Linked DNA regions of Elephas maximus indicus. The protein of the gene in region 1 purifies or fractionates together with the protein of each later gene. This does not show direct contact. Links are inferred from orthologs where the notes say so. Each region holds a gene or a part of one and is shown on either strand. Other genes may lie near its edges.

Evidence for each region. The genes of interacting proteins can lie anywhere in the genome.
Region 2: the proteins of CEP290 (region 1) and PNMA2 purify together in Homo sapiens (co-immunoprecipitation; 3 studies listed by BioGRID and IntAct, with this or other methods). This does not show direct contact. The link is inferred for Elephas maximus indicus from reciprocal best matches to the Homo sapiens genes CEP290 and PNMA2.
Region 3: the proteins of CEP290 (region 1) and IQCB1 purify together in Homo sapiens (co-immunoprecipitation; 8 studies listed by BioGRID and IntAct, counting the BioPlex papers as one, with this or other methods). This does not show direct contact. The link is inferred for Elephas maximus indicus from reciprocal best matches to the Homo sapiens genes CEP290 and IQCB1.

What each region holds. Positions count from the first base shown.
Region 1 is NC_064822.1:151,779,465-151,787,440, forward strand, and holds the start of CEP290 (centrosomal protein of 290 kDa), read right to left. Parts: upstream 3,016-7,976; 5' UTR 2,904-3,015; exon of another isoform or gene 2,745-2,903; 5' UTR 2,528-2,744; exon of another isoform or gene 2,299-2,527; intron 2,168-2,298; exon of another isoform or gene 1,985-2,167; intron 1,435-1,984; 5' UTR 1,407-1,434; coding exon 1,305-1,406; intron 1,153-1,304; coding exon 1,075-1,152; intron 60-1,074; coding exon 1-59. UniProt on the Homo sapiens protein: Involved in early and late steps in cilia formation. Its association with CCP110 is required for inhibition of primary cilia formation by CCP110.
Region 2 is NC_064840.1:47,007,931-47,015,778, forward strand, and holds the start of PNMA2 (paraneoplastic antigen Ma2), read left to right. Parts: upstream 1-4,828; 5' UTR 4,829-4,898; intron 4,899-7,381; exon of another isoform or gene 7,382-7,384; 5' UTR 7,385-7,509; intron 7,510-7,812; 5' UTR 7,813-7,848. Other genes in the region: DPYSL2 (dihydropyrimidinase-related protein 2), read right to left, coding at 4,067-4,420.
Region 3 is NC_064819.1:12,353,630-12,360,594, forward strand, and holds the start of IQCB1 (IQ calmodulin-binding motif-containing protein 1), read right to left. Parts: upstream 3,021-6,965; 5' UTR 2,789-3,020; intron 1-2,788. Other genes in the region: EAF2 (ELL-associated factor 2), read left to right, coding at 3,202-3,310. UniProt on the Homo sapiens protein: Involved in ciliogenesis. The function in an early step in cilia formation depends on its association with CEP290/NPHP6.

The DNA.
Region 1 (7,976 bases):
TGCTCTTCTCCAGCTTTTTCAACTTCTTCCAATGCTAGTTCTACTTCTTGGGCTTTCATCTAAACATTAAAAAAAAAAAAAAAAGTTATTTCAGTGTCTTAACACTAGCTATAGCCACTAAGAATAAGGATTTTGTTTTATTTACCATCCTAATTCTCAGTGCCTTCAATGCCTAACACATAGAGACATTCAGTAATTATTTGTTGAATGAATACATTAATGATTTTCTTATTGAAAATTATAGTTTCGAGATTCTTACCAGTTGGAAACACATTTGAGTCTTCTTTTTCCCTCAAGATTTATGTCAGTATTGCAACTTTTTCCTTTACAAATTTCTTTACTACTTCTTTTTTCAATTTCAGTTCTTAATTCTAACCCATTGTGTTATGTCTAGCTTCAGCATCAACTCCCTTCAATTCATCCTATGTACCAAACCCAGTTTATCCTTCCTAAGGTATATTTTTGCATCAATTGTGGTTCAAAAATGTCTAATGGCTCCTCATTGTTGATAGTTTAAAATATATCTTTAGGTCTTCCATAGCCTATAAGAAACTATCCACTAATGTCTATTTCCTCTACAATCTGCTACATGCTTTCTGCGGTTATCTCCTTCAATGTAAAGAATAAGCATATTATCTATTCTGCCTTTATTTACAGTAACCCCCAGCTCTAGAATGCCCTTGCCATCTTACCATACCCCTCTACTTTCCTAAGACTAGTTATTATCCTTTATTAGATTCCCTCAAACTTTTAAATCTCTCCCCCTCCTAACAAATTCCCATAGCAGTCATTGTCTGCATTATTCATTTGCACCTCAGCACATACTTACTTACCTTTAAACATACTCATTGTTTCCCCTATACATTCTTTTAGGAACATTACAGTACGAAACTGCAATGTTTTACACACTGAAGGCTCTCAATCACATGGAGATATTTTTGAGTGGCAATTTGTTGTGTTGTTGTATGCCATCGAGTTGATTCTGACTCATAGCAATTTAGATTTCACAAAGTACTTTCACAAAGATCATCTTATTTAAGATAGTAAAAAGTATTAAGCCTATTGGATACAAACCTTCATTAGGGACTGAGTAACTCTGAAAAGATGTATCAAGCTTTCTTGACTTTCGCTTTTTATTTCATTTATTTCCACCTAAGTAAACAAACAAACAACTTTAACCCTTAATCAAAATACAAGAACTCTTCCGGTTGCACCATTCAATGATGTCAGTGACAACTTAATCATACACATACATAAACAACAAAAAAAAATGTACATCCATGTGTTATTTATCAATTAAGCACCTTGGATAGAGAAATCAACAAATTATCTGCCAGTTCTTCTTGCCGAGGCAGGTCATCTGGGTCAACTTTCATTATATCTTTCCAGTTTATATTAGGTGGCATGTTGAATTCTTTCACCGTGCTTTACCTTCTGTAACAAAACCGGAGTATCAGATTTTCCAAAGTAAACAGCATTATTGACTCACTATAACTGCCTGAGCTAGTTAACGAAGAGCTTTTGCTGCTTAACTGCAAAACAGTTAAGTAGGCAAAATAACCCTGATCAGAACTACAGCAGACGACTAACGCAGTCAGAAGAAACTCTTGTTCCTGCTAAATAAAATATGGCAGCTTTCTGGCTAAAACTAATTCAGGTCGAGGGTAAGATTCTGGGTCCTCTGCCTCACCCTCTCCTACCACCAAAGCGCGCGCACATCCAAGGGTGCTAAGCGCAGAGGTGCAGTAAAGGCTAAAAAATGACCCCTGGCTCGCATTAGTAGTAACTGGGTACAAAAACCGCGTAAAAAAAATTGGTTACTATGAGCGCAGATGGACCGGGGAAACCAGGGCTGAAACAAAAAGAAGGCAAAAGAATTGCAGACCAGAGGTAGAAGAGACGGGGAAGCTGAGCTGTTGCAAATGGGCCCTGAGGCCAAAAACCTATGCAGAATTGTAGCTCCCGCTCACCGGGAGCCACCCACCTAGACCAAGCCTGGGATCCACCAGCGGCCCCTCATTTATCGCACGCACCAAACCGAGCCCCGCTGCCGCGCCCCGATCGCTTCTCAGCGCGGTTCCACCCGGCCTCTTGGTTCCGCCAACCGGTCCCGAGCAAGCAGAAGCGGCAGCCGCTGCTAGGCGACACCATTCCCCACCCAGCCAAGGCCAGAGCAAGGTCCCGGATGCAAGGGGAGGCTACATTTCACGGCGGTGAATGATGCTTTACGTTCAGATTCCCCGGGCGGGGGCGGGGGCGGGGGCGGGGGGGTACATCGACTCGGGGTTAAGGAGCAGGAGAAGGAGTGGGATGAAGACTCTAAATCCCGGCGTGCAGTTCTGCTCGGAAGCATGTGTACGCTGGGAGCTGAAGTCTCTGGGATGTAGGGCGTTCCCAGCGTGCAGTGCGACTATACCAGGACGGCAGGGGTAGGACCAGGAGGCTGGAGGCGCGGTGGCTGAGGCGCGTCGGCGCTGGTGGACTGAGCGAGGTAGACCATGACTGTGGCGTCGGTAGCGTCACTCACCGGGCCGCTCTTCCTGAGGTTTCCTTAAGCAGCCATCGGTGGAGCCGCTCCCAGGTGAGGTCGAGCTGTCGGTCCGCGGCGGGGGAGGGGTTGAAAGGAGCGGTCCGGATTTACAGAATCTCCTACCTTTGCGTCCGAAGGGCCCCGCCCGGATCTGAAGAGGAGTTAAGACCCCGCCTTCTCAGATGTTTGCCAGCGGCGCCCTGGGTGGTGCCTTCTGAAAAGAAAAAAGAAAAAAAAAAAAAGTTTTACCCTTTTTTGGCATCGGAATCTCTCTCCATACAGTGGAGTGGGGGCAACGCTGCCGAGACCTTGATTTGGGGTTACTGAGGAATTGAGAAGCGGACACCGCATTCTTCTGACCCTACCCCCTTACCTGTAGCACCTTTTCCTGCGCGCATTGAAGGCTCCAAGGTTAAGGAGCTAGGGTAGAGTGAAAACTCGAGAGCAAAAAGGTTAGTACCTATCCAGGCTAGTGCTGGGGTTTAGAGAGAAGAGATCTTAGTCCTGCTTCTGTCGCTTGATAACCGAGGGGGCTGCCCTTTTATGGTAGCGCTTGTCGGGCGTTCGTCGCTGCTATTCCTATTAAGTTTTGGTCCATCTCTGTGCTTTCGGCCATACTGGACTAAACAAACCAAATCTTTGCGGTTGAGTCGATTCCAACTCAGCGACTCTATAGGACAGAGTAGAACTGCCCCCATAGAGGGCCTGGTGGTTTCGAACTGCGGACCTTTTGATTAGGAGCCGTAGATCTTAACCAGTATACCATCAGGGTTTCTATTCTGCAATAAACAAAAAAAACCAAACCCACTGCCGTCGAGTCATAGCGACCCTACAGAACAGAGTAGAACTGCCCGATAGTTTCCGGGGAGTGTCTGGCGGATTCGAGCTGCCGACCTCTTCGTTAGCAGCCGTAGCACTTAACTACTACGCCACCAGGGTTTCCTATTCTGCAATAAAAAATCAATAGTAGACTGGAAATTGAAATGACTTTTCCAACTATATGGACCAGTGCTTCTCATCTGTACTTATTTTTTTATGACTGATAGTATTTTGAAGATAAATGATAGATTTCTGTCCAAACCACGTTTGGGTAATAACAAAAAATTAGCTCAGTAGAAAATAAAAACAGGTAGTGATTTTGTGAGATAAGTTTTAAAGACAAGTTTGTATTAAAAACCAAACCCACTGCCATCAAGTGGATTCCGACTCTTAGTGACCATACAGGACAGAGAAGAACTGCCCCATAGGCTGTAATCTTTAGGGAAACAGACTGCCATATCTTTCTCCCGCGGAGCAGCTGGTGGGTTCCAACTGCTGACCTTTGGGAGGAATGATAATTTTGTGTAATCCTTTACTAAAAGGTTACATGCCAAAAACTATCCATTTTCTCACTTAATTTTCATAGGAATGCAGTGAGATACGTGTTTATATTGTCCTCAGTGGTGGCGCAGTGGTTAATTAAGAGCTGGACTGGTAGCCAAAAGATTGGCAGTTGAAATCCACCAGCCAATCTTTTGGCTACCAGTACAAATCCAAAGCGAAATTGTACTTAAATGTCATAGTTTAACTGATTCTGACAATAAACTTGAAGTTGTACGCTCCACTAGGCACTGGGGATACAGCAGAAAACAAGTTAGCTAAGGCCTAGGTTCTTATGTGCTGCAGTCTCTTTGTACCTAGCTATAAAAAATCAGGAAATTTAACTCAAGTTCTAGTCCAGTCACTCAGTATGTAATTTTGAGGAAAATCGCTAAAACTCTTCATTACTTTTCATCTAATTTTCTTCATCAGTCAGTTTTCACAAAGAGAAGGGATTTATGTTTCAGTTTAATGAATGGCCTTCTTATAGGAACACTTGCTTAAAAAATAAATAAATAAATAACTTGCTTAGACCTGCCTTTTTTCTTCCTTAGGCCTTTATGAAGAATTTTTTCTGACCAAAATCACTTCATAAGAAAGATTTGCCTTTTATAATTGCTACCTCTGTTTTCTCTACCAACCAGCCTGTATTCCTTAGATGATTTTCCATATACTTTCAGCTACCTTCTCAGAAAAATAGGGTTGCTATGAGTCGGAATCAGTTCCCCGGCAACAGGTTTTTGATTTTGGTTTATCAGAAAAATGAGTGGTTGCTTACTTTCCCAGTGTCTAAAATAAAGCATGGCCATAAGAAATTTAATATCCACTGTTTATAATAAATGTTTTGTTTCGCCTTGTTCTTACGGGGAAGGATGAGTTTGCAACAAGCTGATACTTGTCTTCCCACAGCATGAGACTGGAAAGATTAGTAGGAGTCACCAGACATGCAGACTTTGCAAACTTTGCAGGCCTAACAAAGTTTTGCAGACTTTAAAAATAGAATGTAGTAGATTGCTCTTATTGAATAAGATGATATAATCACAATGGAATCCTTAACCTGGGAGAACTTTCCTTTCCAGACTAAATATTCCCAGATTCATATAAAAATTTTTATAGGTTTATTTTTTTCTGATAATTATACTGTAATAATTTTTGGATCATTGCAATGAGTGAACACTCAGTTATGTTGAAGGCATTAAATTTTGTATCTCTATAATTCATGAGTAATCTTCACTTGCAGTTCGAAGTTATTCTGTGGTTCAGGTGAAAAGGACCAGTTCTCTGGTAGAGCTGTGTCTTGGCTGTCCAGGGTCCCTTATAACAGGAATACCACAAGTGAACGTCTTTAACAGATGGCAGTTTATTCTCTCACAGTCTAGTAGACTAGAAGTCTGAATTCAGGGTACCAGCTCCAGGGGAAGGCTTTTTCTCTCTGTGGGCCCTGGAGGAAGGCCCTTGTCATCAATGTTCCGCTTGTCTAGGAGTTTCTCAGCACAGGGACCCTGAATCCAAAGGATATGCTCTGCTCCTGGCCCTACTTTTTTGGTAGTATGAGATCCCCCTCTTTCTACTCTCCTGGCTTCTCCGTTTTATGTTTTATATTTCAAAAGAGGTCGATTTAAGACACAACCTAATCTTGTGGATTGAGCCCTGTCTCCTTAACATCACTGCAGCTAATCTCACCTCATTAACATCATAGAGGTAGAATTTACAACACATAGGAGGATCAAATCAGATGACAAAATGGTGGACAATCACACAATACTGGGAATCGTGAACTAGCCAAGTTGATGCACAGTTTTGGGGGGAACACAATTCAATCCATAACAAGTTGCCCCCTGCTGAAACAGATTCATTCAAAGAAATGCTAGAATACTTGAGAAAAAATCTGCTCCCAGTAAAATTTCAGGATATAGATTTCATAAAAAATTAATTTGATAATTCTTTGAAAATGCAGTAAAGAAAAAATTTTAAATGTTAGAGAAGATAATTATATAGACTATTGGTCTCAGATATTGAAGTTCCTGGTAATAAGTATTCTTAAAGATAAGAACATAGAAAATGGAGCAATGGTAATAGGAAACGTTCATGATGAAGAAATATTTAAATTTGTATTATTAAATGTAATTAATTGTCCATTGAAGGATGTTGTTGCCAAGTGAAGGTATTTGGTTTTACAATTTGCAGTCCTCTATTTATAAACTGACTAAAAAAACCAAAAACCAAACCCATTGCCATTGAGTCTATTCTGCATCATAACAACCCTATAGCACAGAGTAGAACTGCCTATAGAGTTTCCAGGGAGTGCCTGGTTGATTTGAACTGCTGACCTTTTGGTTAGCAGCTGAACTGTTAACTACTCCACCACCAGGGTTTCCTATAAAATGATTAGTGATGTGGAAAAACAAATCATAGCTGTACAGGCAGTCCCCAGGTTACAAACATCCTATTTAAGGAAAACTCGTACTTAAGAATGGGCTGGCATAAAACCTATTATGTTAATTTGAGTTAATACAGTGGTTCATAATAACGAACGCAGGCACTACTTTGTGACGCTCATGAAAACATTGTGCTGTTTGACAGTGGTTTTTAAGTGTTTATGCATAGAAAGGTAAAATACATACTATATAGGAAAACAAACGTTTGACTAACTGATGCTCAGTAAGAACCATGTGTATCTGTTTCGACTTACCTACAAATTCAACTTAAAGACAGAAACGAATCTCGTTGTCTAACTTGGGAACTACCTATAATAAGATATATAGTGACATCCCGTTTTTGTACCAGATATAAACCAGTGATCCCAGCCACTAACATTATATGCGTGTGTGTGAATATGCTACCGTGCCTGGAAAAAAGAAAAGTTCACACAGCAAACAACAATGGTGTGTTACACTGTTATATAGTAAGTAGTCTCCCAGTGTCATGCCTTCCTCTATGCCCTTGTTAACCTCCCCCCTCCCCCACTACATACGCATATACACGCACAAACACCTCAGCTCTTGCAGTTTGTGTTTTTGGACAAAACCTAAGATGATTACACAACTAAGCTCACGAGCGTGCCCTAAAACTTTAACTTTCTCTCATATTAAGCTCCCTTGGGGAATCTTCAAAAATTCTATTGTCTTGGCCCACTAGAACCTCTGCCACATCGCTTCTGGGTTTAACTTAGTTGATTGATAGTAGCAAATTTGAAATAAGCAAAGGCTTGAAAAGAGTTTGCGCATTGGGTGGGACTTATTCTCCTATCTGCTCTAAGATCACCATTTAAAGAAGCCCAGGCTAACCTACTGGTGAATGTGATTGAGCAGAGATTAGCTTTCCAAGCTGAGACTCCTATCCTTCAGACTATCCAGCCCTAGTCCGGCCAGGGGATAACTGTAGCCTTGTTGGTGGTCCCAGTCAAGACCAGTAGAAGAACCACTCAGCTGAACCCAGCAGCCCAAATTACTGAGCCACGACATTATAAGCTTACATTTTTATTTTAGTTGTCATAATAGTTGGGGTACTTTACCAATATTTAGTGAGTAGGCATGAAGAGTGTACATCTTGCAGTGCCATCCCCTCAGTGATGATTAGCACCTCATTGATAAACAAACATGATGCTTCTTAAAACTCATCCACTCACCTGTACAGAGGTTATGAAGGGCAGAGATAATAGAATTTTAAAATTCCCCAAGGGAGCTTAATATTAGAAAAAGGGAGAGAGAGCTGGCTCTAGTGTAGGCTCATGAGCTCAGTTATGGAGTCATGTTAGGTTCTGTCCAAAAAAGCAACCTGCAGGAACAGAAGTTGGGGAAAGAGGTGTAGTTATAAATAGACCTTAGTAAGAAAAGCTGAAAATATTACCAGTTTACAAGGAGACAGTAGGGACTTTCTGATGTAGCGGGATGAACTGAAGATAAAAGAAACTTCAAGGAGCAGTCCCCAGTAATAGGGGTTTTTATTCCCAAGAACCCTAACACTCATGAAAGTCACAGCTTTGAGTATAGCAATCAAGCACCATATTTTCTCCAAGTAATGTGCCTACATAAATTATGGGCCCACACGTATAACACACACAGCACGCCCAGAAAAATAATGTGCG
Region 2 (7,848 bases), on another chromosome or scaffold:
AGTTCTTTGGCGATAAAATGAAGGAAAATAATTAGTATAGAAAGCAATTCAGTACATCACCATGATTAAGAAGCTCTCTAATTACATGGCACTGGGTTCAAATCCCAGCTGCTCTGGCTGTTAATTAGCAAGTTACTTGCCTCTTTTGCCTTCAGATTTTTATTCTACAAAATAACAGTAGTACTTCCTTAATAGAGTTGTTTTTGAACTAATAAAATGTGCATATAAAGCACTTAGCATAAGGCCTACCCCATAGGATCTACAAAGTTTCAATGGGATGTAAAATACTTTGCCTGTGAAACTAAATTGTATCTTGAGAGTTCACTAAATATCTCTGGCAGTGGATCTGAGTTACAGCATGGCATGTTGGAAAAAATATGGGACTTAGTCGGGAAATTTTGGTCCAAATGCTAGTTTTGGCATTTACTAAATAGCAAGACCTTGGAGTAAGTCCCCAAATACTACTGTCAGTTTCCTTATTTATAGAAAGGAAATAATGCCTATCTCAGTGTTGAGACAAGGCTTTAAAAGAATATATTATGTACATTCTAAAATAAAGAATCAAGAAATATAAAAGCCCATTCTAAAGTTATGTAATGCTACATAACTAATAAGGTTTTGCTGGTATAGGGCAGCGGTGGGAATGAACAGCAAGAGACCTCAGTTCTAGTGCTGGGGCTGTCACCTCAGTGCAATGGAATGAAGCACTGTTTTTCTGGACATCACTTTCTTCACCTCCAAAATGAGATGATTAAACAATCATTAGGTTGTTTCGAGATCTGACATTCAATGGTAGTGTATATTCAAATCTATGATCAGTTCTGACTTTCCCTTCTTTCTCAAGGAGGTAGTAGGGGCACTTGCACTAAAGGTCCCTTAAGAAATCCTGGCCTGTTCTTGTTGGGGCTGGGAAAACTGTCTACGCTAACATTGACTTCCATGGCACAGAGCCATAAGTATGTGTACTATGCAACATTCAGGATATCATGACCAGATGTCAATGACAACAGGTTCAATGGCAGCACTTCCCCTCTCTATCCTTGGGCTACAAGGGGGAAAGACGGAAGAGGCTGTTTAGCTAGTGGGAATTTTCTTCGACTTAGAGCTCAGGTGGGGAAGTCTCTCATCCCAAATGTAACCCTATAGGACAGCGTATAACTGCCCCATAGGGTTTCCAAGGAGCATCTGGTAAATTCAAACTGCCCGGCCTTTTGGTTAGCAGCTGTAGCTCTTAACCACTATGCCACCAGGGTTTCCTCCCTTCCCAAAGCCTTGCTAAATGAACAGCAGGACCCCTAGAAGGGCTCATGGGCAAAGCCTCTTCTGAACCATGCCTTAGCAACACCTATAAATACAGATTCAGGGGAGGACAAAGGGCATTAATCAGGCACCCTGGGATTCATTCCCTCTAGTTCTCCCCCATTTCTCTCTGTGCCAGGCCTTCCTACAGAAATGCACTAAAATGCTGGGAGTCACCCTACTCATTAGTTGAAAACTAAGTGATGACTAGTCAATTTGGTCAAAATGGTGGACCCAGCTGTGCTTTCAGAAATCACTATATTATTGTGTGCTGTCAAATCGGTTCCAACCCCTAGTAACCCTATAGGACAGAGTAGAACTGCCCCATAGGGTTTGCTAAGCTGAAACCTTTACAGGAGCAGATTGCCAGGTCTTTTCTCCCATGGAGCAGCTAGTGGGTTCCAACTGCCGACCTTTCAGTTAACAGCTGAATGCTTAACCATTGTGCCACCAGGGCTCCTTGAAATCACCAGTTATATCCATGTACATACATGCACACCAAATGCCTTTTTCCTCTTGTACAGACACGAAATATTGAACACTGTAAGCACCAATCCAGGTAAATGCTCCTGATCTGAATGAAAATAATCCCACAGGAGCAGTCTTTATGCTATAAGTCTAGACTGAAGATGAAAACTCTGGGAGGGCTACAGGTAGGCCAAGACAGAATCTCCCTACTACAAATATTCAGGCAACTGGAGCGGGATTTGATTTGAGGTTTGCTGAGGCTAAAAATGCCCTGGTTTTGGTTGGATGTTATCACTTCAAATCTCTCCCTCCATGTACCATAGGTATACAATTTAGAATTTCTATTAAATTCAGCCAGTATTCAAACAAGTAGCTCTTGTGATCAAACATCTAAGCTTCTAAATGGACAGGAGAAAGAGATGTGTTATTTAACTCATTGCAACTTTGCCTTTCAGACTTGAGTTTTAATTTGCTGTTTTTTTTATGATGGGGTAGCCACTCTTAACACCCCCCAAAAGCCATTTTATAAATGATCTCTTCCTTATTCTCCATAATATACTTCTGCTCCCTCTAGGATATTAGAATTGCCAGGACAACTTGCTGTACATGAGGTTACTCACATAACGATAACGCTATATAAGCTTGGCTCTCACCCAATGCATTCATCTAGGAAAGTATTTCACTTTCAGCTTTTAGTCTAGGTTACACAATTAGAAACTTTTGCTTCAATTGTCTTGTCACTTGCAACAAAGAGAATTTTCTGGATTTGGGTTCTTCTGGTTGACTCATGATAAAATATGTGTATGAGATACTTTCCTATATGAAAACATCAGAGAACAGAGCTGGGGGGAGTGTATAAATTATGAAAATGATCGCAAATGCTTTAACTTCGTTAGACTTGTTCCTATAAAAGTCAAAAGCTGCAAAACTCAATGCCACATCAGGAAACAGGAGCACCATTCTAGGGCCATTACCACCTACTCTATGTTGTTCTCTAAAATGCTTACACTGTAAATGCTTGTTGAACCCCACAATGAACAGGAACAGGCCACTCCCAACCACTCTGGAAGCCCCGTGAGGAAAAGAAACTGCCTTTAAGTTTTTATTGCTAACCTTCCTGCCCCAAAATCAAGGCACACAATAGGTATTCAATAATCATTAATTAACGTCTCATCTTCACAGAAAGCTAAACCTAACGGGTGCAGGAGAAACAGCAAACAAGGGATGAAACATTTTGCACTGTAGAGTATCTGCTGAGAAATTGAGGCTGTGAGGAAAAAATGTGCGAGTATGAAGGTCACCCAGTTAAAGAAAAAGCTGGGGTGTGAAAAAGCTACTGTACTTAAAATGTGCACTGTTCATATTTGTCAGATAATGGCCAACATTTTCTAAAATCAAGGTTTACCAAATTGGACTTCGTTTGACTCATTTACAGTACAAAAGGGCTAATCTTCTTTGACATGCTATTCAAAATGTGAGGGTTTCTTTCTTCCTCCTTTTTTTACCCTTTGAACATAATCCACTTAGTTCCCATTCCCAGAGCACCTCCCAAATAGCGGCAGAGGGAGAGCTCTGGGAAGCCCTTGTTGAGGCACTTAGCGGAACTTTGTTCTCCACATGGGCTATTGAGAAGCGTCTCGGTTTCCTCGGGTGACTCCACATTCTCCCTCACTCTTCTCACGCTGCGACCAGGAGTTAAGGGTGGTGAGATTCTCCTAGGCGAGCCGAAGAGGCGCTGACCATGGTGCTGGCCTCCGATCTCGGTACCCGAGAGCGACAGGCGCCCAAGAAGGTGCAGCCAGAGAGGGCGCAGAGCGGGCAGGGAGCGGTGGTCGGAGCCCCGACCCCTCCCGAACCCGAGGGAACTCACGGGCCTTCACGCGAACCCCTCCTCCGCACGCTCCGAGCTGCATCAAAAAAGGGTGGGGCACCCAGCCACAGCTGCAATCGGAAGCCGCCCGGGAGGATTTAAGAAGAATGAAACCGCGGCCCACTCCCCTCCGCGCAACCCCGGGCCGGGAATCAGCCAGTCCTTTACCCCCCCCCATCCCCCACCTCCCAGATCCAGAGAGGTGCGGGCAGCCTTTGTGGGCGTACAGCCGCCCACCGACGAGCCTCTCCGCACCCTGGGCGGAGAAGGGGCAGGTTGGGTGGGGTATGTGTGCATATGCAGAGAGGCAACATTAAAGAAGGAGCAGGAAAGAGGGTACCCTTGGATTCTCGGGTCTCCACGGAGCCGGGAGGGAGAGGCAACTCCCACACGCCCCGTCCTTCATCTCCTCCGCCCTCCCATACCAACCTGGTCGTTGATGTTCTGCAGGGCTTCCTTGCCCGAGGCCCGACGGATCTCCACCTTCCGGCTCGATTCAACAGATGGCTCCCCGCCGGCACGCCGGCCCTGCCGGGAGTACGGCGGCTGCGGGTCGGGGCCCAAGTGGGCGACGTCCCGCTGCTGAGCCACAACCTGCCCCGAGCCCCGGCCCACCGACAGCGAGTCGAAATCGATGGTTTTGTTCTCCGAGGACCCTTCCACCGGGCAGAACATGCCACAGAATTTCTGTCGGGGCTTGGGGCTGCCTGAGCCCAGCTTTTTAAAAAAGGCAGGGACCTCTTCGTCCTCTGCCTGCTTCCCGGATTGCTTCCTCTCAGCCATGGCGCGATGGCTTGGGGAAGGGTCCTCTTCCTCCGTCTGTCTGTCTGTCTGCCAGTCCCTAAGTCTCCCACTATCTGTGCAAAAATCCCCCGCTGCTGCCACGGATGTCTCTTTCTGCCTAAGGCAAGGTGTACAGAAAGGAAGGAGGGCTTTGGAGCGGGCTGTCTACCCCTCCCAGCCCCTCCCCCTGGCCCTGCTTTCTCCCCCTCCCTGCCCACGCCCCCAGCCTCCGCGCAAGCTCCGGCGAGCGGCGAAGTTAGGCCGGGGAGGGCGGCCGCTGCGGCTGCGGGAGCCGAGAGGCAGCCTGTTCCCTGCAGCTGCGCTAGGAGGGGGGGCGCGGGGCGGGGCGCCGAGGAGGGGAGGGGAGGGGAGGGGCGGGCCACGCCATCTCGAGCCCCACGCTCCGGAAGTGAAGCGGCCAGACCACCGGCTAACGGTTGCCGAGTGCGGGGCCTGATGACCGCTCTCCGGCGCTAGGGTAAGTAGAGGGGCTGGGTATGCGTAGGCGACGACCCGAAAACGCAGCCCCTGGTCCCCTGCCCTCCTCTCCCCCACCTGCCTGGCCCAGGCGCCTCTCCCTCTCACCGCATTGCGGAGATGGAACCGCGGGCTGGGGGCTCCGCGGGTTGGGATCCCTCCCCTTTCCCGGGGTATTTGCTGATGGATGGGGAAAAGGAGACAATCTGGCAGAAGTCAGGACAACTGGGGGGCGTCAGTGGGAATGGGGAATGGCAGGCGGTGCGGAGAATAGGGTGCCATCCGAGGCGCGGAAAACCAAAGCCCCAGTCACCCACGGGCCTTGGTGGGCTGCGTGGAGCAAGGATGAAGCGAGAACATTCTTGCTTGGTGTATCCCCAGGGGTGGGGGGTGCACAACGTGTTCAGAAGAAATGCAGAGGGGCGTAGCAAATGAGGAGGTATAAAGAGAGACTTAAGCCTGTGGTTTATGGGAGTTTTAGCAAGGAGTGCAGTCTGCGGATTCCAGTGCAGCCACTTGTAAAGACAGAGAGGGTGTAGACCCGCTACATTGCCTGAGGGCCCCATGTAATATTTCTGCGCCCCTGCGCCAAGAAGGGCCAAGGAGAGTGTCTTGATTTGATATCTTCCACCGCCCCTCTCCAAAGGGGAAAATACGTAGAATAAAGCCCACTCCCTAAATCTCCAGGCCTTCCTCACGCCCGAGCACCCCGCCTAGTCTCCCCCGCCCCTGTTGCGCACTGCGCCAGAGCAGGGCCAGACGCCACGTGCTTGTGGTGTTAGTGTGTGCGCATCCGCTGGGGACTAGGAGGCAGGGTGCGCACTGTGATAGAATGCAGAGAATTGCGTTTGGGGACAAGAGGGGCAACTGTGTGGAGGTGTGGTGTTTCTATGGGGGTGTTTCAGCCGTGACCACCGGGTCGGTAGGCATTCAGGTGTCATTTTGATTTGTGTCAGTAACGCCGTCGATGCTTACTCTTCTTGTCCTCTTCTTACCGTATATCAATCTCTGCTTCTGATCGAGTGCAGCCCCCCTCTTTTCCTACAGTGGCAAAATTTTGCGAAAATGATGCCCACCCATCCGAGGCTCAGAAGGGAGATCTGGCCTTGCTCTGTGACCAGGGCGGGTTTGGGCTAAGAGGCGATTTCCCGCAGCGTCACCACGCCAGGCATTACGGGCCAAGGATTCAGTACCGTTGTCAACCCTTGTCCCTGGAAGGATTAAATGTGGATCCCCCACCCCTATTGTCAGTGATGGTTTGGTGAATGGGGTTAAATTTGGAGGACGACTAGTCACAGTGTGAAGATGAGCCCATCATAGGTGGGAATGAACCTCAAAATGAGGAGGGGAGAATGAAGAAGAAGAATACACATATGGAGCAGGCGAGAGACCCCCATAGGCAGGTATTCCGGATTTAGCATCAGATAGACTTCTTTTGAACTAAATGCTTTCACGTGAATTACGTTATTACCTACTCACGGCAGCCCTGTTAGATAAATGGGACAGGTTTATTGTCACTATTTTCCAGGTTAGGAAACTGTGATTTAAAAGGATTGAGGGACCTTGGCCAGGGTGACCTATCTAGTTAACTGATGCAACAGTTCCACTGGGGGTCTTCCATCTGAAAATCTGTTCCTTTTCCAGTTTATCCTATTGGTTCTGTTGATGTGAGAAAATATAAGGTTTTCACTTTTTTTTTTTTCCATATCTAAGTACTTCCATCCATGGCCCTATTGGATACCAAGGGTGTTTCACTTGCTTTTTTTATTTGAAAGTCACATTGCAGGTAGGAGCTCACGTCCTTGGGGCTCCTGGGGATAGGAGTAAAATAGCATTTTGTTTTCCTGGCCTTTTGGCACTTATGGTGCCTTCAGCACCTCCTAGAAGGACTCAGGAGATGTACCTGCAACAGGAGCAGCTGCTGTTCTAGCTACAGGTTGGTATCATAGCATATGGACCTTCCTCAGATTGATGGAGATTTTCATGCCAAGGGGAGAATGATTGTAGCACCCTAACGTGTACTCCAGCAACGCTGACTGGGAGGCATCACTCTTCCGACTTTCTATTCCCAGTCTCCACAGGCTTTCCAGGACAAGCTCAGTAGATAGGCTTCTTTTTGCCTTGAATGACCCATTTAAATTCAAATGCTAGGAGAAAAAAGTGTTGTGATAGTAACCATTCATAACAAAAGAAATGCCAAAGACTAACCAGACGTAGCAAAAAAGAATTAGTCCATGATTCCAAGTTTAGTGTATTTGGCCCTAAGATTTTCTTTTTCTAAATGCTATCTATATATTAAATTATTTTTAAATGTTTGACCGATTCCTAACTGGGTATTTTTTAATCAAAGAAAGGAAGCAGTTCAATAGCTGTTTAGTAGAGCTAGCTAAATCGTGAAAGATTGTCATATTTTTAATAAGTGTAGAAACAGTCTTTATGACTGCATATTATTGAGCTATAAAACCACATGATTTTTATGTGTAGCAGGACATCTTGACTTGGCTGGAGCTAAGACTCAGAGACACCATCGTGTGGAGTTGGGTGACATCATCCTATACTAGAAGCTGAATAAGCTGTTCACTCTCAAGGAACATTCTGGAACATATAAACAGGTATTTAGCCACATCTTTTGATTTCATCCCTTATGTGGGAAAAATCTTGGATCTTGTCCAAAAGTGGGGTTTAGACATTGATTGACATGTCTGATGAGCATATGCTGGGGAAGCTGTATTTCAGAGGGTCCCCAAGAGAAAATAAAAAAGTCACTATAATCAAAGAAGAATTCTTGACAGAGTGGGCTAGACACAGGTACAATGTAAGACAAAACCCCTGGTCTACCCCCACTTCCTTCCCAAACTAGAATATGTATGCTTCCTGGTATGCTTCAGTGGTAAAACTGAAAATTGTTTCACTAGGAGTCCAAGTCACGCTACTGTGAGACTTCTCTTCAA
Region 3 (6,965 bases), on another chromosome or scaffold:
TTAATGAATGTATGTTGAAAGAATGAATAAAGGCATGAACCTTGTATATTCCAAGACTCAATTTCCTGACCCTCTGCTTTTTTCCCTGTTACAGTATGGGAACCTCCAATTTCTGACAGGAAGTCATTTCGAAAGAATAAGATGGGCTTCAAACATAGCTCCTGCCCTCCTGGCTAACATAGTAAAACGTAACTGAAACATGATCATCACCAAACATCTGTGTGTAGGGCGCTATGTTAGATGCAATGGTCACAATGATTAATGATGTTCTAGTTGGGAAAGAAAAGGCATTTAACTATCTATAAAATACAATATCTTAAGCACCAAATAGATAACACAGATGATAAGATAATAAAGTCAGAGGACTGGTCTTCCCTGAACCAGTTTTTTAGACTTATAAACAAAGTAGCAATTCCCATCTCCTAGAATAATTAAGGAGCCCTGGTGGCACACTGGTTAAGAGCTCGGCTGCTAGGCTGCTAACCAAAAGGTCAGCAGTTTGTACCTACCAGCCATGCCTTAGAAACCCTATGGGGCAGCTCTCTAGGATCGCTATGAGTCAGAATCAACTTAACAGCGACAGGTTTTTTTTTTTTTTTTTTAAGAATAATTAATATACAGAAGAGAAGAGAGCCACCAAGGACGGCCCTCAAATGTTCTGACGGTAGAGCTAGACATTAAAAACTACTTGGAGAGCTCTTATTATTTGCCATTCATTTTTCTAAAAGTTTTCATATATTAACTAACTTAATCCTCTCAACAATTTTTAAGAGATAAACAAACAAACAAACAGCCACTGCCATCAAGTTGAATTCCGACTCGTAGGGACCCTATAGGACAGAGTAGAACTGCCTTACAGAGTTTCCGAGACTGTAATCTCTACGGAAGCAGACTGCCATATCTTTCTCCCATGGAGCAGCTAGTGGGTTTGAACCACGGACCTTTCAGTTAGCAGCTGAGCGCTTAACCACTGCGCCATGAAGGCACCTATTCTAAGAGATATTATTTTTTCCCTGATTTTAACAATAAGCAGCCTTAACTTTGGAGAGTTAATTAGTTTGCACAAAATCACAATGCTAGGTATGAAGCCAGAGTTCAAACTCAGAAATTCTGGCTCCAGAACCTGAGCACTCAGGTACAGTCTTAAAACCAAGAAAAACAAAACCCATTAGCCGTGTGTTGATTCTGACTAGTAGCAACCCTACAGGACAGGGTGGAACTGCCCCATAGGGTTTCCAAGGAGCACCTGGTGGATTCGAACTGCCGAGCTTTTGGCTCGAGGCCATACCTCTTAACCACTATGCCACCAGGGTTTCCTCTTAACCACTCGTAGGCCTTACAAGTGTAGAAATTTAGACAAGCAGATAGGCTGAAGGAGACATTCATCTATTCATCTAGAACAATAAATCAGGGCTTCAAATTGTTGGAAGCCCTGATGATTTGCATTTCTAACAAGTTCCCAGGCAATGCTAATGCTGCTGGTTAAGGACCAATTTTGAGAACTACTAGTAGAACAGTGGTTCTCAAAATTTATTATACACCTGGGGATCTTGTTCAACTGTAGAGTGTGAGTCAGTATATCTGGGGTGAAGCCCTGGTGGCACAGTGGTTAAGTGCTCTGCTGCTAACCAAAAGATCAGCAGTTTGAATCCACCAGCCGTTCCTTGGAAACCCTATGGGGCGGTTCTACTCCATACTATAGGGTCACTATGAGTGGAAATCCACTCAACAGCAATGGGTTTGGTGGTTTGGTATATCTGGGGTGGAAATGGAGCCCTGGTGGCACAGTGGTTAGGAGCTACAGCTCCTAACCAAAGAATAGGCAGTCTGAATCCATCAGCCTTTCCTTGGAAACCCTATGGAGCAGTTCTACTCTCCTATAGGGTCGCTAGGAGTCAGAATCAACTGGACAGCAAGAGGTTAGGGATGGAAATGCATTTTATCAGCAGGGGTCCAAACCAGAAGGAACCAGTTGGAAGCCCTGCAATAAACTGGCCAATTTGGCTGTGGTGGAAGTAAGGGAGTTCACTTTACATAACTACAATGAAGAATGATCAGCGGTTCCCTATGAGTCGGAATCGACTGGATGGCAGCGGGCTGGGTTTGGTTTGGTTTTGGGAACCATTTGTAAAGTTTCTTTTGGGTGCTTTTCAATTTGGCTCCAAAGCAACACTTCTCCCATCTTTACCGTTAAATTAATAAGCTCTGACAGAAAAAAAACATTGTGGCAATTATTTATTAATTTACGGATGCTATTTTTTTATTACCCTGTTGCCAGACTACCAGCTCCAGCCCCACTCTCGATCCTATAGGAGTCACGTATTTTTATCCCTATAGGATGCCTGTTACTGCATCCACGGATCACTGTGAAGTAAACGAAAGAAGGCAAGTGATCCCAAACGTCTACAGTTACCGTCTCTGAATCCTCTTTCTTCCCTCCGTCCACTTCTCCTCTCCCAGGCCTAACTCCACCAGGCACTTCCTCAGGAACACAGAGGTCCGAGAAGGGCTGCTCAGGTAACGGCGTCGTCTGCCCTCAGGTTCAAGGACCGAGGCTCTGGGGTCCGCGGGCTCATTTACTCAGGGTTCCAGTCCCGCCTTTGGCGCGCCCAGACCTTGGGCAAGACACCAGGCCTTGTGCCCAGATACAGCCCCATCCCGGACCTCAGTTTCCACACAACCGGTTTCCGTCGAGTCCACACAAGTAAGTACTCGGTAAAAGGCCCTTTTAACATTGAGCAAAAAGGGCTGAAGCAGGCCGAGCCTCCGGTTAAGAGCGCCGACATACCTGGTTACTTGCCCCAGGAGCCTGGCTTCCGGGCCTCCCGGTATCCAGGGGTCCTCTCCCCGCCCCCGGGCCAGCCCCGGGCCAGCCAGTCCGTTACCTCAACTTCGCTTCGGGTTCCTCCAGCCCGGCCTTCTCCCACCGCTCGCCTCAGAGGCGCGGCCTTCCCGGGCCAGCGTGCGTCGCAACGCGGGATGGGCTCTGGAGGCGGGACCAGACGCCTCCGAGCCAGGGGGCGGGGCGCCCTTCGCCAGGCAGCCAATCAGCGCGCGAGCGCGCCCGCTGGGGCCGCGCGCGTCGGGCGGAAGGCGGGGCCTGCCGTGGCTGCGCTCGCAGCTGCCGCTGGAGCTACTTGAGGCTGAGGTGGCAGATGGTAGCGAGCCCGGCGGCGGCGGCAAAGTCGCAGGCAGAGGATAATGATGAATGGAGCGGCGGGACACTTGCACCTCGGCAGTCGCGAGCGAGTTCTCAAGTTGGGCGAGACTTTCGAGAAGCAACCGCGCTGCGCCTTCCACACTGTGCGCTGTGAGTGGGTATGACCCGCGGGAAAAAGGAGCCTCCGGGATGGGGGTGTGGGCGCAGAACCCCTCCGAGTTCTGGTCCCACCGTCCCCTGAATCTGCTGGACAGTGGGGGACCCAGCTGCCCTGCCTGGACTCCAGGGGGGCCGGAAGAAGGAGCTGGAGTCCAGCAGGTGTGCATAAACCCACGGAAGAATTTGAGACCAACAGGCAGGAAAGTGAAACTTTGTGGAGAAGGGCTGCGGAGGGGACTGTGAGACGTGACGGGTGGCTGAGGCAGAGGTGGCAAGGCAGATAATAACGTGACAGTTAACAGGGTGGCAAAGAACCGAGCTCTTCTCCATTGTGCCTGGGGAAGGGACTTCCTTGAGGCTGGTGGAGAAATCATCTCTTTTTCTCGCCTCTGGCTGGTCAGGGTCCTTATTTAGTGTGTTCCTGGGAAGAGGTTCTGAACCATCCCAATAATCTGTATTTCCTTGGGACTTCTGATTTCAGTCAGTTATCAAATATTATCAAACTATTGGACAGTGTGTTATTACATTCTTTATTCGGAAGGTATTTACCTCCCTGTGACTTCTACCTTTTGGTTTTCCTGTGTCTTTTGCAACTAGTTTTTAGTCGTTCGCTTTTATGTTGTTGAGGTTGAAAAGGGAACTCCTGCTTTAGTATTTGACTGATGTAGATTAGAGGAAGGAATGTTGCGTATTATGATTTTGTATGTAAAATTTCATTTTTTTGCATAATAACCCTCAGAATTAATTCTAGAGCTGGAAGGAAACTTTGAGATCATTAAATCGTGACCGATCATTTTTCTGTGGCAAATTGCAAAGTAGGTATTTTTTTCACTTCCTTTATTCACCTTTGCCCAGCTTCTAAGTCATTCTGCCCTGGCTCGTCTAGAGACCTTTATGGTTTTCGCTTTGAACTGGTCTGTGTTTCAGCCAAAACTCCTAACAAAAATTTACATTCTCCAAAAATTTACTTACATTGTGACTGTAGGAACTTATTTTTATTTAAGCAAAATATTCTTATTAAAGGTTTTTTTAAGAAAAATTATTTTGCTGTGTATAGTCTCAGTAACAACAACAAAATAAATAAAATTTAAAAGAAAAATTAACATCCAATTGGTAGAATAAGCGGGGGAGATGTTCATGAACAGAAGATCTTCAACGGTGCCGTCGTTTATTCTTCTTTACCTTACTCTCTGGTCCAAAGCTTCTCGCAATGAAACAGCGGGTAGTGCTGACTGCAGTTCCTCTGCCTCTTTAATCTCATTTTCCAAAAGTATGATATGGTTCTTACCTGGTTTCTCCATGTCTTTCTTTCAAGCAGTGTCTCCCCTCTCCTTTTCTCTTTCTTCTCAGGTATGTTGTAGTCTTTATACACTATAGGCTGTTGTCCATAGTATTAATTTTTCAAATTACTAAGTTTAAGATTATAAAAATTTGCTCAAGAATATTTGTTCCCATAACTTGGGTATATACTCTCTTTTTAAGGACATGAATCACAAATATAAGTAAATAAAAAATAATCTTTGAAAAGCACCGTTGCAAGTGCTCTAAAGCCTTTCATTTATAAAGGTTCACAAAATGCTGGAATTCTGCCTTCAGTGTAAGAGAATAAGTGAAATAGGTCAATGATCCAGCTGCAGGAATGAAAATAAAACAGCAACAATAGCACCCACAAAAAAAAAAAAACCCAGATATTTGAGTATCAGCTTAGTCCAGTAGAAGCCATTAGAACGGTTTTCAGCCCTCATTTTTTTCTTATTGTTGAAGTAGGCATAGCAATTGCACATAATCTTTTTGTAGTTGTTGTTAGGTGCAGCCGAGTCCGTTCCAACTCATAGTGACAGTGACCCTGTTCGCAACAGAACAAAACACTGCCCGGTCCTTCCAAGACAGATTTGTTCGTTCTTTTGGCAGTCAGTGATATATTCAATATTTTACGTCAATGCCACAATTCAAAGGCATCAATTCTTCTATGGCCTTCTTTATTCATTGTCCAGCTTTCAGATGCGTATGAGGTGATTGAAAATACCATGGCTTGGGTCAGGCACACCTTAGTCTTCAAGGTGACATCTTTGTTCTTCAACACTTTAAAGAGGTCCTTTGCAGCAGATTTACCCAATGCAATGCATCTTTTGATTTCTTGACTGCTGCTTCTATGGCTGTTGATTGTAGATCCAAGTAACGTGAAATCCTTGACAACTTCAGTCTTTTCTCTGCTTATCATGATACTGCTTATTGGTCCAGTTGTGAGGATTTTTGTTTTCTTTATGTTGAGGTGCAATCCATACTGAAGGCTGTGGTCTCTGATCTTCATTAGTAAGTGCTTCAAGTCCTCTTCACTTTCAGCAAGGAAGGTTGTGTCATCTGCATAACACAGGTTGTTAATGAGTCTTCTTCCAATCCTGATGCCCCGTTCTTCATACAGTCCAGTTTCTCAGATTATTTGCTCAGCATACAGATTGAATAGGTTTGGTGAAAGGATACAACCCTGACACACACCTTTGCTGACTTTAAACCAAACAATATCCCCTTGTTCTGACTGAACGACAGCCTCTTGATCTATGTAAAGGTTCCTAATGAGCACAATTAAGTGTTCAGGAATTCCCGTTCTCCGCAATATTATCCATAATTTGATATGATCTACACAGTCGAATGCCTTTGCATGGTCAATAAAATACAGGTAAACATCTTTCTGGTATTCTCTGCTTTCAGCCAGGACCCATCTGACATCAGCAACGATATCCCTGGTTCCATGTCCTCTTCTGAAACTGGCCTGAATTTCTGGCAGTTCCCTGTTGATATATTGCTGCAGCCATTTTTGAATGATCTTCAGCAAAATTTTGCTTGCGTGCGATATTAATGATATTGTTCTGTAATTTCCACATTCAGTTGGATCATCTTTCTTGGGAATAGGCATAAATATGGATCTCTTCTACTCGGTTGGCCAGGAAGCTGTCTTCCATATTTCTTGGCATAGACGAGTGAGTACCTCCAGCACTGCATCTGTTTGTTGAAACATCTCAGTTGATATTCCGTCAATTCCTGGAGCTTTGTTTTTCGCCAATGCCTTCAGACAGCTTGTACTTCTTCCTTTAGTACCATCGATTCCTGGTCATATGCTACCTCTTGAAATGGCTGAACCTCAAATAATTCTTTCTGGTATAATGACCTTGTGTATTCCTTCCATCTTTTGATGCTTTCTGTGTCATTTAATATTTTCCCCATAGAATCCTTCACTATTGTAACTTAAGACTTGAATTTTTTCCTCAGTTCTTTCAGTTTGAGAAATGCCAAGTGTGTTCTTCCCTTTTGGTTTTCTGTCTCCAGCTGTTTGCACATGTCGTCACAATAGTTTGTCTTCTCGCGCTGCCCTTTGAAATCTTGAGTTCTTTTCCTTGATCGTTTCTTCCTTTTGCTTTAGCTGCTCGACACTTGTGAGCAAGTTTCAGAGTCTCCTCTGCCATCCATTTTGGTCTTTTCTTTCATTCCTGTCTTTTCAGTGACCTCTTGCTTTCTTCATGTATGATGTCCTTGATGTCATTCCACAACTCGTCTGGTCTTCAGTCACTAGTGTTCAATGCATCAAATCTATTCTTGAGATGGTCTCTAAATTTGGGGGGGATATACTCAAGGTCATATTTTGGGTCTC